2 linked regions of the Nothobranchius furzeri genome follow. The protein of the gene in region 2 purifies or fractionates together with the protein of the main gene of each other region. This does not show direct contact. Links are inferred from orthologs where the notes say so. Each region holds a gene or a part of one and is shown on either strand. Other genes may lie near its edges.

The links.
Region 1: the proteins of top2a (region 2) and znf451 purify together in Homo sapiens (affinity purification with mass spectrometry; 3 studies listed by BioGRID and IntAct, with this or other methods). This does not show direct contact. The link is inferred for Nothobranchius furzeri from reciprocal best matches to the Homo sapiens genes TOP2A and ZNF451.

Annotation. Positions count from the first base shown.
Region 1 is NC_091752.1:19,659,613-19,664,676, reverse strand, and holds the start of znf451 (E3 SUMO-protein ligase ZNF451), read left to right. Parts: upstream 1-1,586; 5' UTR 1,587-1,713; intron 1,714-2,522; coding exon 2,523-2,579; intron 2,580-2,789; coding exon 2,790-2,873; intron 2,874-2,950; coding exon 2,951-3,064; intron 3,065-4,218; coding exon 4,219-4,330; intron 4,331-4,415; coding exon 4,416-4,566; intron 4,567-4,659; coding exon 4,660-4,810; intron 4,811-5,064. UniProt on the Homo sapiens protein: E3 SUMO-protein ligase; has a preference for SUMO2 and SUMO3 and facilitates UBE2I/UBC9-mediated sumoylation of target proteins. Plays a role in protein SUMO2 modification in response to stress caused by DNA damage and by proteasome inhibitors (in vitro).
Region 2 is NC_091756.1:31,454,953-31,460,133, forward strand, and holds the start of top2a (DNA topoisomerase 2-alpha), read right to left. Parts: upstream 3,244-5,181; 5' UTR 3,013-3,243; coding exon 2,995-3,012; intron 2,359-2,994; coding exon 2,212-2,358; intron 2,090-2,211; coding exon 1,999-2,089; intron 1,917-1,998; coding exon 1,853-1,916; intron 1,756-1,852; coding exon 1,610-1,755; intron 1,262-1,609; coding exon 1,164-1,261; intron 1,060-1,163; coding exon 847-1,059; intron 1-846. UniProt on the Homo sapiens protein: Key decatenating enzyme that alters DNA topology by binding to two double-stranded DNA molecules, generating a double-stranded break in one of the strands, passing the intact strand through the broken strand, and religating the broken strand.

The DNA.
Region 1 (5,064 bases), on a different chromosome or scaffold from region 2:
TTGCTCTGTCCAGAAATGAACATGTGTCTATGGCTCTGGCAAGAGCAACACAATTACAAGCATTTCTGTTTTATCATTTAGATCATAGAGCCTGCAAAATCAAACAGACAGAATGATCACCAATGCCGGCTACCTAAATTTTCCTGACACGGGATAACTGACCATCAAAATTAAACCAGTCTGTGAACTGGTCCTCTACCCCCAGTCTACCAAAAGTTGGAAAAGCAACAATCAGGAGCAGATATTAGATCTCATGGATCAAAATGGGGAAACAGAAAGTTGTCGAGGATAACAGGACACATCCAACATGTCCTCACATAAAATTATGGTTTCTTCAGGAGCTGTGATCACAAGATCAGGTGCAAGACCTGATGGTGGGAACAGACATAGATTTTCCATCTCAAAGGGAGAAGAACAGATGATGAAATGTATGAATTCTACTTGCATCTCAACTCAAAAGTGTGCTAATTTTCAAACATGTCAAATGCTGCAACAAAGTTCTTTACTTAAGCTGCTCCCCAGGAGAAAAAATAACCCTGTCTTAGTTTTGGGTGTCTGCAATGAACTGTTTCCTAGAGGAAAATAAAGATGATAGAATAAAAATTTATGTTTATTAATATGGTTCTAAGTCTTAATGGTAATCCTAGAACAGATGAAGAAAACTGGACTTCATGGTTTCGTGAAGATATTTAACTTCTCATCCAATGAACTTGATCAGTTCTTTAAATAATGACTGACATATGAGGGGAAGTGTCTCTTAGGTAAACGATTATATACGTGATTGCACAGCAAGGCCTGCATGAACAGAAGCATAATCTACTTTATGTGTTTAAAATATCATTAAACTCAAAAGTGATCAAATATTTTTCCTCCTGGAAAATAATTAAAAAAACTGAGATTGAAGTTGACTACAACATCTCACTATGGCCCGTAAGAGTTTTGAAAAGGCGGGCAGACATACTCCTGAAGTCTGTAAAATAACGCAAAAAGTCAAATAAAATAATAACTGATCAATTATTTAATAGTTTGATGTAATACACTATAGTAAATAAATAAAGCCTCTTTTTACTCTATTTTTTATTCATTTTTTTGAGTGTTGAAGGTTTCAGTAAGAGTCTATGCCTTTGTGTATTTATGATTTTCCTATTTCTCAGGGTGTATGTGCTGCCTTAACAAGTTAATTCTCCCACTGTGGAATAAATTGTCTATTCTATTCTATTCTATTCAATTCTAATGCTTCACCAGTAATTAAATGCTTCAATAAAATTCTGACATTTAAAATTCTAACTTCAAATAAAATCTTACATACCGTATTTAACTTTTGACGTATAAGCATGTTTTGAAACTACAGTTGCAGTTAAACACTCATCCTTTAGAGGGCACTGTCTCAAAAACAATAGGATGATACAATCGGCTTGAGTCTGCGGTCTCGATAAAGAATAAAGTTCACAATTATGGAAAAAAACTGCTTAATATTATAAACATTATACAAACGGTTAAAAATAAAAATGAAAAACTGTTGGGGGAAGACAATAAAAAAACATAACCCCGCCCATGCGAGGCACGCCGTGAAACGAAATAAACGCACTAGCTAATAGTGACGTTACAGACCAGACTAGCTGCTTCACGTTGTTGTAGAAGCTAGCCACCACTGCGCCAACGAAGGAGCCGATAGGATCAGCGCTACGTACCAAAAACATTCTACTTACTCTGGTAATTTCAAATATCTTGCAAAGTCTAAACTTTAGCAAGTTTGTTTGATTTCAGTTTAGCCATTGTGCTAGTTGTCAACGTAAACCGCTAGCCGGACGTTAGCATACTGAGAGCCTTCGCAGCCCCGGATATTGGTTACAAAGTAAGCCTTTATCCAGGTGGATTAAATATGAAGAAAACATTTTTACGTATTAATGACAAACTGGATGTTTTATTTTAGTGCTTTCCTTGTCTTATGTCCAAAATAATTGCATAACGTTCATGAAGTACAGCTGAGTTTGTTATTTACGTTTATTTGCAGCAGCAATTGAATGTTGCATTCTCGCGCCCTCCAATCTCTTCCTCCAAGTGGATTTCAGTGCTGCCCCCTTGTGGTATGAAGTTATATTACAACAGCCCTGATGGAAATAGTTGCGTTTCAGGTTATTTATGGAGGAAAACGTGTTGAATTTTTACATAATTTGTTTGTAATGAAAAATATGTGTAATACGCCTGAGTAGGTAGTTTGTTTGGAGCAGTAAATAAGTTTGAAGTCATTATGGTTTATACAGTTATGACTGCAAGTGACTAGTGAACATATGCAGCCATTTCCTCATGTTTTAGTGTGACTATTCCTAATTAAAGCCATGTTATCCGCAATCAAAACAGATTTAATCTTGTCTGTACCTCTAATCTCCCAGATAAAAGTATAGATACTTGCCTGACATGCTCATTAATGAGTACATAAATGCCTTTTTGATCCCACATTTTACAGCCATGTTTAGAATCTTTGTTGCAGCTTCAAAATCTTTTTTTCCCTTCCTGTAAAGATGTCTTCACCGACCCAAGGACACGATTCTGAGGCTGAAGAAGTGGAGTTTGTATCAGTAAGTTACGTGTATCTTTAACAAGCACTCAGGACAACAAAAAGAAAATGTTAATCCGGTGTAACAACCAAGTTTCCACCTTTTTGATATTGATTGGACACATTTTGCATTGACCTCTGCGTGGTGCGTGGTGATCAGTGTAGAGTGACATTTAAACTATGGTTATTGCAGCAAACATTCAGGTTTCAGCTCACTTTGCTCGTCCTGCAGGAAGGCCCTCTTAGACCAGTGCTGGACTGTATCGATCTGCTGAGTGACAGCGATGACGAGGGTTGTTCGTCTCGGGCGGTCACGGTAAGCATCTGAACAGATAAACGGTTTGTTGGTGTTCGTTTCTTCTGGAAAATGTTCTCATTTGATGTCCTCTGCAGCTTGAGGACAGCGTCACCCGAAACAAAGCACGGGTCATGTCCACGCTGGACAGGCTGGCACATAAAGTGGCTCAAGAGAAAAAGGAAAGAGCAGACAAATGTAAAGCATTCAAGGTAACTAAAAAATTTGCATTAAGTAGTATCCCCATTTCATGGCATTGTATACGAAATAGTGTTCACTTGGAAAAAAATATATAAAAATCTTTTTTTTTAAATCAAGAGATAATAAAGATAGAAAATAAGTAAATAAGTCACCTGCTGTTTTCACAACATAATGTTCTGTGCCTGTAGGCGTCATTAATTGGCTGTTTCATTCACTTTTACTTTGTTTTGGGATTGAGACACGGGGAAATAATCTCGTCTGGGTAGGATTATCATTAGTTTTTCGATTTTGAGCTGACATCTGAGGAATTAGCGTTTGTTTGGGCGCAGAGCCCCATCGGGTCATCTGACTATAGTCTTATTCACGTATATTTTTAGTAGTAGTATAAATACTAGTAAAACACTATTCCTAAAATACATCTCCCATATTATTTTGTTGATGCCAGCACATGAGAATGGTTGAGTGATACTCATGGAACAGAAATATTTTTTTCCACATTTTGTGTTATTAATTATTTTAGACACGATTTTTATGGTTTTATGTTACGAAGCTGCAACTGGGCATTATTTAATTCATTTTCAACCACATTTTGATGGATTTTTTTCAGAGATTAAAGGGAAAAACTACACATTGTCACTTTTTAAAGTGTCATTTTTTTTACATCATATTGAAAAAGATGCTTAAATATTATAGAAGCAGTTATCAGATGAAGTTTTAATTCTAAACGGTTAACATTCACAGTGGTTTTGTTTCATCTTTATGAATCCAAACAAACTGGAAAGCTAAAATATTTAGGTGAAATTAGAATATATTTAACATTTTTTATCACAAAAAATATGAAAATGGTTAAATGTCAAATAGGTTAGGGTCTGAATAAAGGCTGATTTAGCTGCAGGGACGAACGTGCCACCTTGTGCACACCGTAGATGTTACATAGACAACATAAATGATCTTCAGGAGTAAAATAAGATAAAAAATAATTTTAATATTTTGTTACTATGATTGCTCAAAAAACTTAAAACAAGTCATAAATGAATAAAGTTGAATGAGTTGAAGTTTTTATTTAGTTTTTAATGATGTCTGCATAATCAGCAGATACTTGTGTTTTGTGAGTCTGTAAAATAATATTCAGACTTCTAACATAGCAGCTCTTTTTGATTTTCAGGAAAAACAAATCATGCAGAAAGCTCACGGACAGCGCGAGCTGGCTGTTAGTTCTCCAAACGGGCGGAATCAGGAGGCAAAGCACTGTGTGGACATGTGGTTAAAGATGCCAGGTGACTTTTGTAATCCTAATTTCCTAAACATTGTATCACTGTTTTAGGTGACTGATTCAATTAATCCGATCCATCGTTTGTTTAGGCCTTAAACCTGGTGGGATCGGTGCTGACTGGGGCCGAAGACAGTCAGCTGCCGATTTCTCTAGAAACGCCTCAGCTCGACACACTTGTCCAGTGATCAATTGTGGCCGCGTTTATGACAACATTTCCCTCCTTGGTGGGCACTTAAAAAGGTAATCCCATTACTCTGCTGTTCGCAGCAGCTTTTATTTGGAGTGTTGGCCGATATTTTCCACCTTTGCTGATCTTCGGTCCCTCGTGTGCAGGTTTGATCACTCTCCCTGTGACCCATCCATCCATCTCAGCGGGAGTCCGTCGGAGCTCTTTGCTTGCGTTGCCTGTGGTCGGCATTTTCAGACCAAAGAAGAGTGGAAGAAACACGTTCAGTCTAAGGTGATAACGAAACATTTATATCTGGTAAATACAGTTTTTTAAACATGCCGTGCTTCAACCACTATTGAAAAAATCTGGCTTAGACCCAACTGACCTCGGGAACTTTCAAAGCTCCCCTTCTTGTCAAAAGTGTTGGAACAGGCTGTTTATAATAAAATGTTGCCCCGTCTTGGATAAATTTCAGTCTGGTTTTAGACTATCACAGCACAGAATCCGTTCACATCAGGGTTTTTAATTATATTATTTTAGCCACTGATTCCAGTTCCCATGTTGCCTTG
Region 2 (5,181 bases):
TCAACAGTTCAGGCTGCTGGTGGTGGTGTAATGGTGTGGGGGATATTTTCTTGGCACACTTTGGGACCCTTAGTACTGATTGATCATCGTTGCAACACCACACCCTACCCGAGTGTAGTTGCTGACCATGTCCATCCCTTTATGACCAGTGTACCCATCTTCCAGCAGGATAATGAGCCGTGTCACAAAACTCGAATCATCTCAGACTGGTTTCTAGAACATGACAAAGAGATCTCTATACTCAGATGGCCTCCACAGTCACCAGATCTCAGTCCAACAGAGCTCCTTTGAGGTGTGGTGGAACGGGAGATTTTCATCATAGACGTGCAGCCGACAGATCTGCAGCAACTGTGTGATGCCATCATGTCAATATGGACAAATCTCTGAGGAAAGTTCCCAGTACCTTGTTTAATCTATGCCACGAAGGATTAAGACAGTTCTGAAATAAAAGGGGGTCCAGCCCAGTACTAGCTAGGTGTGCCCAATAAAGTGGCCAGTGGATGTAATGTACTCTGGTAGGTCAGCATTTTGTAGCTACCCCAAATCTTCGGCCATGTCACAAGACATTTTCCAATGCCATGAAACACAATAGAAGCTGTACTTGATCTTTTTGCTGACCACCTCTTTAACATAACAGTGATTCTTTTCAGCAGCTGAAAAACTTTATTTCATCTTAAAGAAGCCAACTTCAATCTTATTTCAATTCTAAGACTCTCCGAGTTGACCACTTTTGATGTTACATTCAGATTAGGTGATATTAACCCATTAAAACAGGATAGTTTTGACTTTTAGTCTGAATGAGTTAAAGTACTAACAACATGCCTATTGATCATCATATAAACTTACTGGCAGCATCTTGCCATTGAAGAACACCTTCACTCCCTTAGAAGATCCAGCAATGTCATATGCCCTCCTTGTCATCAGAGCCACGGTGTCTCTGTCCAGGGTGCTCATCTTGAACTTGGAGAGATCAGGCCTGAAGGTGATGCACGTATACTCTTCCCCATCAAAGGGCTTGATTTTGGCATCCTCTGATCTGCCCATGTTGTCATACCAGCTCTGTGGAAGACATGAAAGTACAGTAGAAACGGATTTTCCTCTAACAAATTAGAACAATAACAAGTTAAGTCGTAAACAAGGTCAATGTATTTTCAAGTTTTCACCTGCTTGAAAACCTTCTTTGACTCTTTGCAGGCAGTCTCCACTGTGAACTTGGTGCTGAATATGTTGCAGAGCTTGGCACCGTATCCATTACGACCACCTGAAGAACAAGTCATTTTATACCAGTGATCCCCAACTCCCTTCCCCCTAGAGCCAGTATCCAGCATGTTTTAGTTGTTTCCCTAATCCAACACACTTCTTCATCAAGCTCTGCAGAAGCCTGTTCATTTCCTGCTGACTAAAATCAGGTGTGTTGAAGCAGGGAGAACAGTGAAACGGAGTTGGGGATCATTTCTATACAATCTCTGGCTTCACTTTTGGCCCCTTCTCACTCAATGCAGCTTTTTAAGTGGCTTTCCATTACCTTCTTATTAGCAACCCAACATGGAACTGCCCAGGCAAACTGTGACACGCCAAACACGTAACCAAAACCTAAATCTGATCTCACCAGTGACTTTCTTCTCATCATCATCGTAATTGCTGGAAGTAAGAAGCTGTCCAAAGATAAGGGCGGGCACATAGACCTTCTCCACTTTGTGCTCCACCACAGGAATCCCCTTCCCATTATTCCAAACACTGATGGTATTGTTCTCACTAAAAACAAACACACATTTTGGCAGAAGGTGAAAAAACAGTCAGAGAAATCACTAACTGCATTTAAATGTAAAGGGTAGTATTATAGAATACTCACACATCGATGCTGACCTTGATGCGGTTCATATTTTTATCCCTCTGCTTATTGTCAGCTGCATTTACTACAAAGGAACAAAATAAATGGTTAAAGGGTGTTTGTTGGCCAGCGGCACACATTTAAAACTCGTGAAAGCGCCTACTCACCAAGGATCTCATCAAAAATCTTATAAAGCCCTGGCACAAACGTCACGTCACGGCAGTTCAGGCCATCAAGCTCATCATACACCCACATTTGCTAAAGAAAAGAGTTAAACTCATGATTCCTGAAACACCAAAATAAAATAAAATGTTTCCGAGAGACGTGCCTAAATAAATGAACATATATTATAATAAAAATGGTGGTGGGGCTGTTCTTACTTGAGTGACAGGCTCAACAGAACCAATATAGGTGTCTGGTCTGAGCAAAATGTGCTCCAACTGGGTCTTCTTCTGGTAGATCCTCTCCACGGACATTCGCTTCGGATCTTTCTTTGTCTTCTCCACCGGCTTGTTTTCTAAAAAGGCCTGCGAAAAATGTCACAGTTACCGTCCAAATGTACACAACAGGACCGGTTTTATTTAGGTTTCAGATCAACGCATGTGACGCCACTGGACCGAAGAGTGTCACGGAGCTTTACGATTTTAACGCTACAAACGGAATAAAAATAATCGTATGTGCAAATAACACGAAACTGCGTCATCAAATATCTTTCGAGGCTTCTTCAGGAGCAGAATATCAACAAGTTTAGCGCGAGTCGCCATTTAAGCCTCATCTTTCCAATTACTCGGTTTTCTATTTAGTTGGGACAACTTTTCGATAGTTTGGTAAAATTGAACGACTTAATTGAACTGTGTTTGTTTGCTTCGAGAGGAAATTCATACATTATAGTCAAATGTACCCTGTTTTAGCAACGTAAAAGATGGCGTTAGAAACTTAGTCATTTTATTCGACATATATGTGTCATCTTTACAAGAAGGCCGAATACATTTGTACATCTAAACGTTGCTAAATATTATTTTTATTATGCTAAATATTACGTAGCTAAAGCTGTTAACACATGAAGCTAAAACAAAAGCTTGGACACTTTTTAACAGTTGATGTTTGGCTACGAGGACAAACACGCTAGCTCAACGCTGCTAATATTAAAGGTTTGAAGTTACCTTCAGCGGTTCAGCCATCTTTCTAATTCGTGTTGTTTTTAATATCGTAAAAGATGAGGATTGAACAAGTAGTAAAACAGCTCCAGACTAATCCTATGGTCGCCGACGTGATCAAATCCTTTGAAAATTCGAAACTTGGTCCAACGGTTTCGCGCCAGGTGAATTCACCAATCAGACGAGTGACTCTTCTTCTTCGTCTTCTTCGTGTTTATTGGCGGGTGGCATCTAACTTCTAGGTGCATTTCCGCCACCTACTGTGCTGGAGTGTGAGTCGGAGTAAGAGCGTAAAAAACCAAGTGGTGCTCGCTGCAGAACCACAAAGGCGGAGCTGCACCAGAAGGTGGAGCTGCACCAGAGTCAGCCCCGCCCATTCCAGAATCAGCCCCGCCCATCCTATCGGAGTCAGTCCAATTCCTTCCAGTTGTCAGACTTGATAGCATTCTGGAAACAAAGAGGGTGTTATAGCTAAAAAATGCAAGATTGAGGAGGGAGTTGAGAAGTTAATTGAACAGTTTTTGTAAAGGTTCCATATAATTAAAAATCTAACTTTTGGAACTTTTAATCATGTTATATTGTCATTTCCTCATAAGAAACACGCCAAAGCCATTTTTGGCCTCATTCATGCATTTTCTTCCCATCTCAGCTTCAATTTGGTCTCCTCCCCCAAAGTGGGTCTGGTCTTGGTTCTCAAATCTGGATATTCTGTGAATTTTCTGACAATTTATTTCTGAAATGACTTCTACTGAGACACCGCCAGAAAAATCATACATCCCATCTACAAAGACACACCAAATAACATAATAAAATGTAACGCCACCTGATTTTTATCAGATGTGGTGGTGTAGTGGTAATGGTGTCAGGTTGACATGCAGTTTTGCGCAGGTTCGCCTCCCAGCAGTGGAAATATTCTATAATCTCTTTTCCTCATTTCTAGCTACACTTGCCAGTACTATGTTTACAACAATTTATTGGTATGCCGTTTAACATATAATGACTAATGTGTTTTTTTTATTTATTCATTCGTTTATTTAGCCAGTGTGAGTCCATCTGTGAGCAGAGTTTCAACTAAAATGCTGTTTAGGAACGACCAAATTCAAAGAACTTGTAGAGACATAAATATTTTGCTATAAATGAACATTACAACTAAAATATGAACAAATTAAATGTTTCAGCTGGCTGAATAGATTGTTGCCGACCCCACCGAGAATCGAACCAGCATCAGCTGAGGGGAAAGCAAAACGTTAGTCAGACGATCTTGCCACTGGACTACCAGAACCCACAGGAAGGGTACATGCTGTTGTACAGGACTTTTGTTAGAGCGGCTGTGGGCAGATATTCGCTACGAGAAACCTTTTTATTTCGGGATATATTCAGACTTTGTCATGTAGCAAGTTATATTTATCTTGTTTAATTGGAGCACAGAACATAGCATTAACGACTGTAAACTAGTAACAGCCGTAATTCATGTGGGTCAGGTCAGTTTGCGATAAAGTTGAAAACAAAAACGGAAGTCAGTGGGCTAGGCTGAGTTTGCGTGAATGGGCGGGGTTGACTCTGGTGCAGCTCCACCTTATGGTGCAGCTCCGCCTTTGTAGTTCTGCAGCGAGCACCCTCTCTAAAAAACCCCAACTAAAAACTAAATTCTATTCAACAACAAACCACTGTGTTTTAGATACTCAATAGCCAACTTATAATGCCTTTCTTCACCATTTAACAAATTCTTTACATTTATCACTCCACCTCCTATGTTTTTTAATATCTCCCTGAGTTGTCCTCTTCTTTCCTCATATTTTATACAGTTACACAAAACATGTTCCACTGTTTCTCGCCGTTAAATAACCAAACATGCTCAAAAGTGGGCGACTTGTGATCCCTAAGGCTTGCGATGCATTTAACCCTCTTCACACGCTCTTACGCCACACCTCCAAACTCTCACGCTAAGCCAGCGCCTGCGCTTCCCCAAATGCGCATCACGCACAGTGCGTAGGGCTTATGAAAACAAACAAACCAACAAACATGTTATTAATTATAGCATTAGCTGCAGGCACAGAAAAGGAAAAAAAGAAAAGAAAGAGAATTCTGACTTATTTCCCTGAATTCCCTGTCAGAATTCTGAGATTAAAAGTCAGAATTCTGAGAAAAAAGTAAGAATTCTCCTTTTCTTTTATTTCTTGTCAGTGGCTCTAA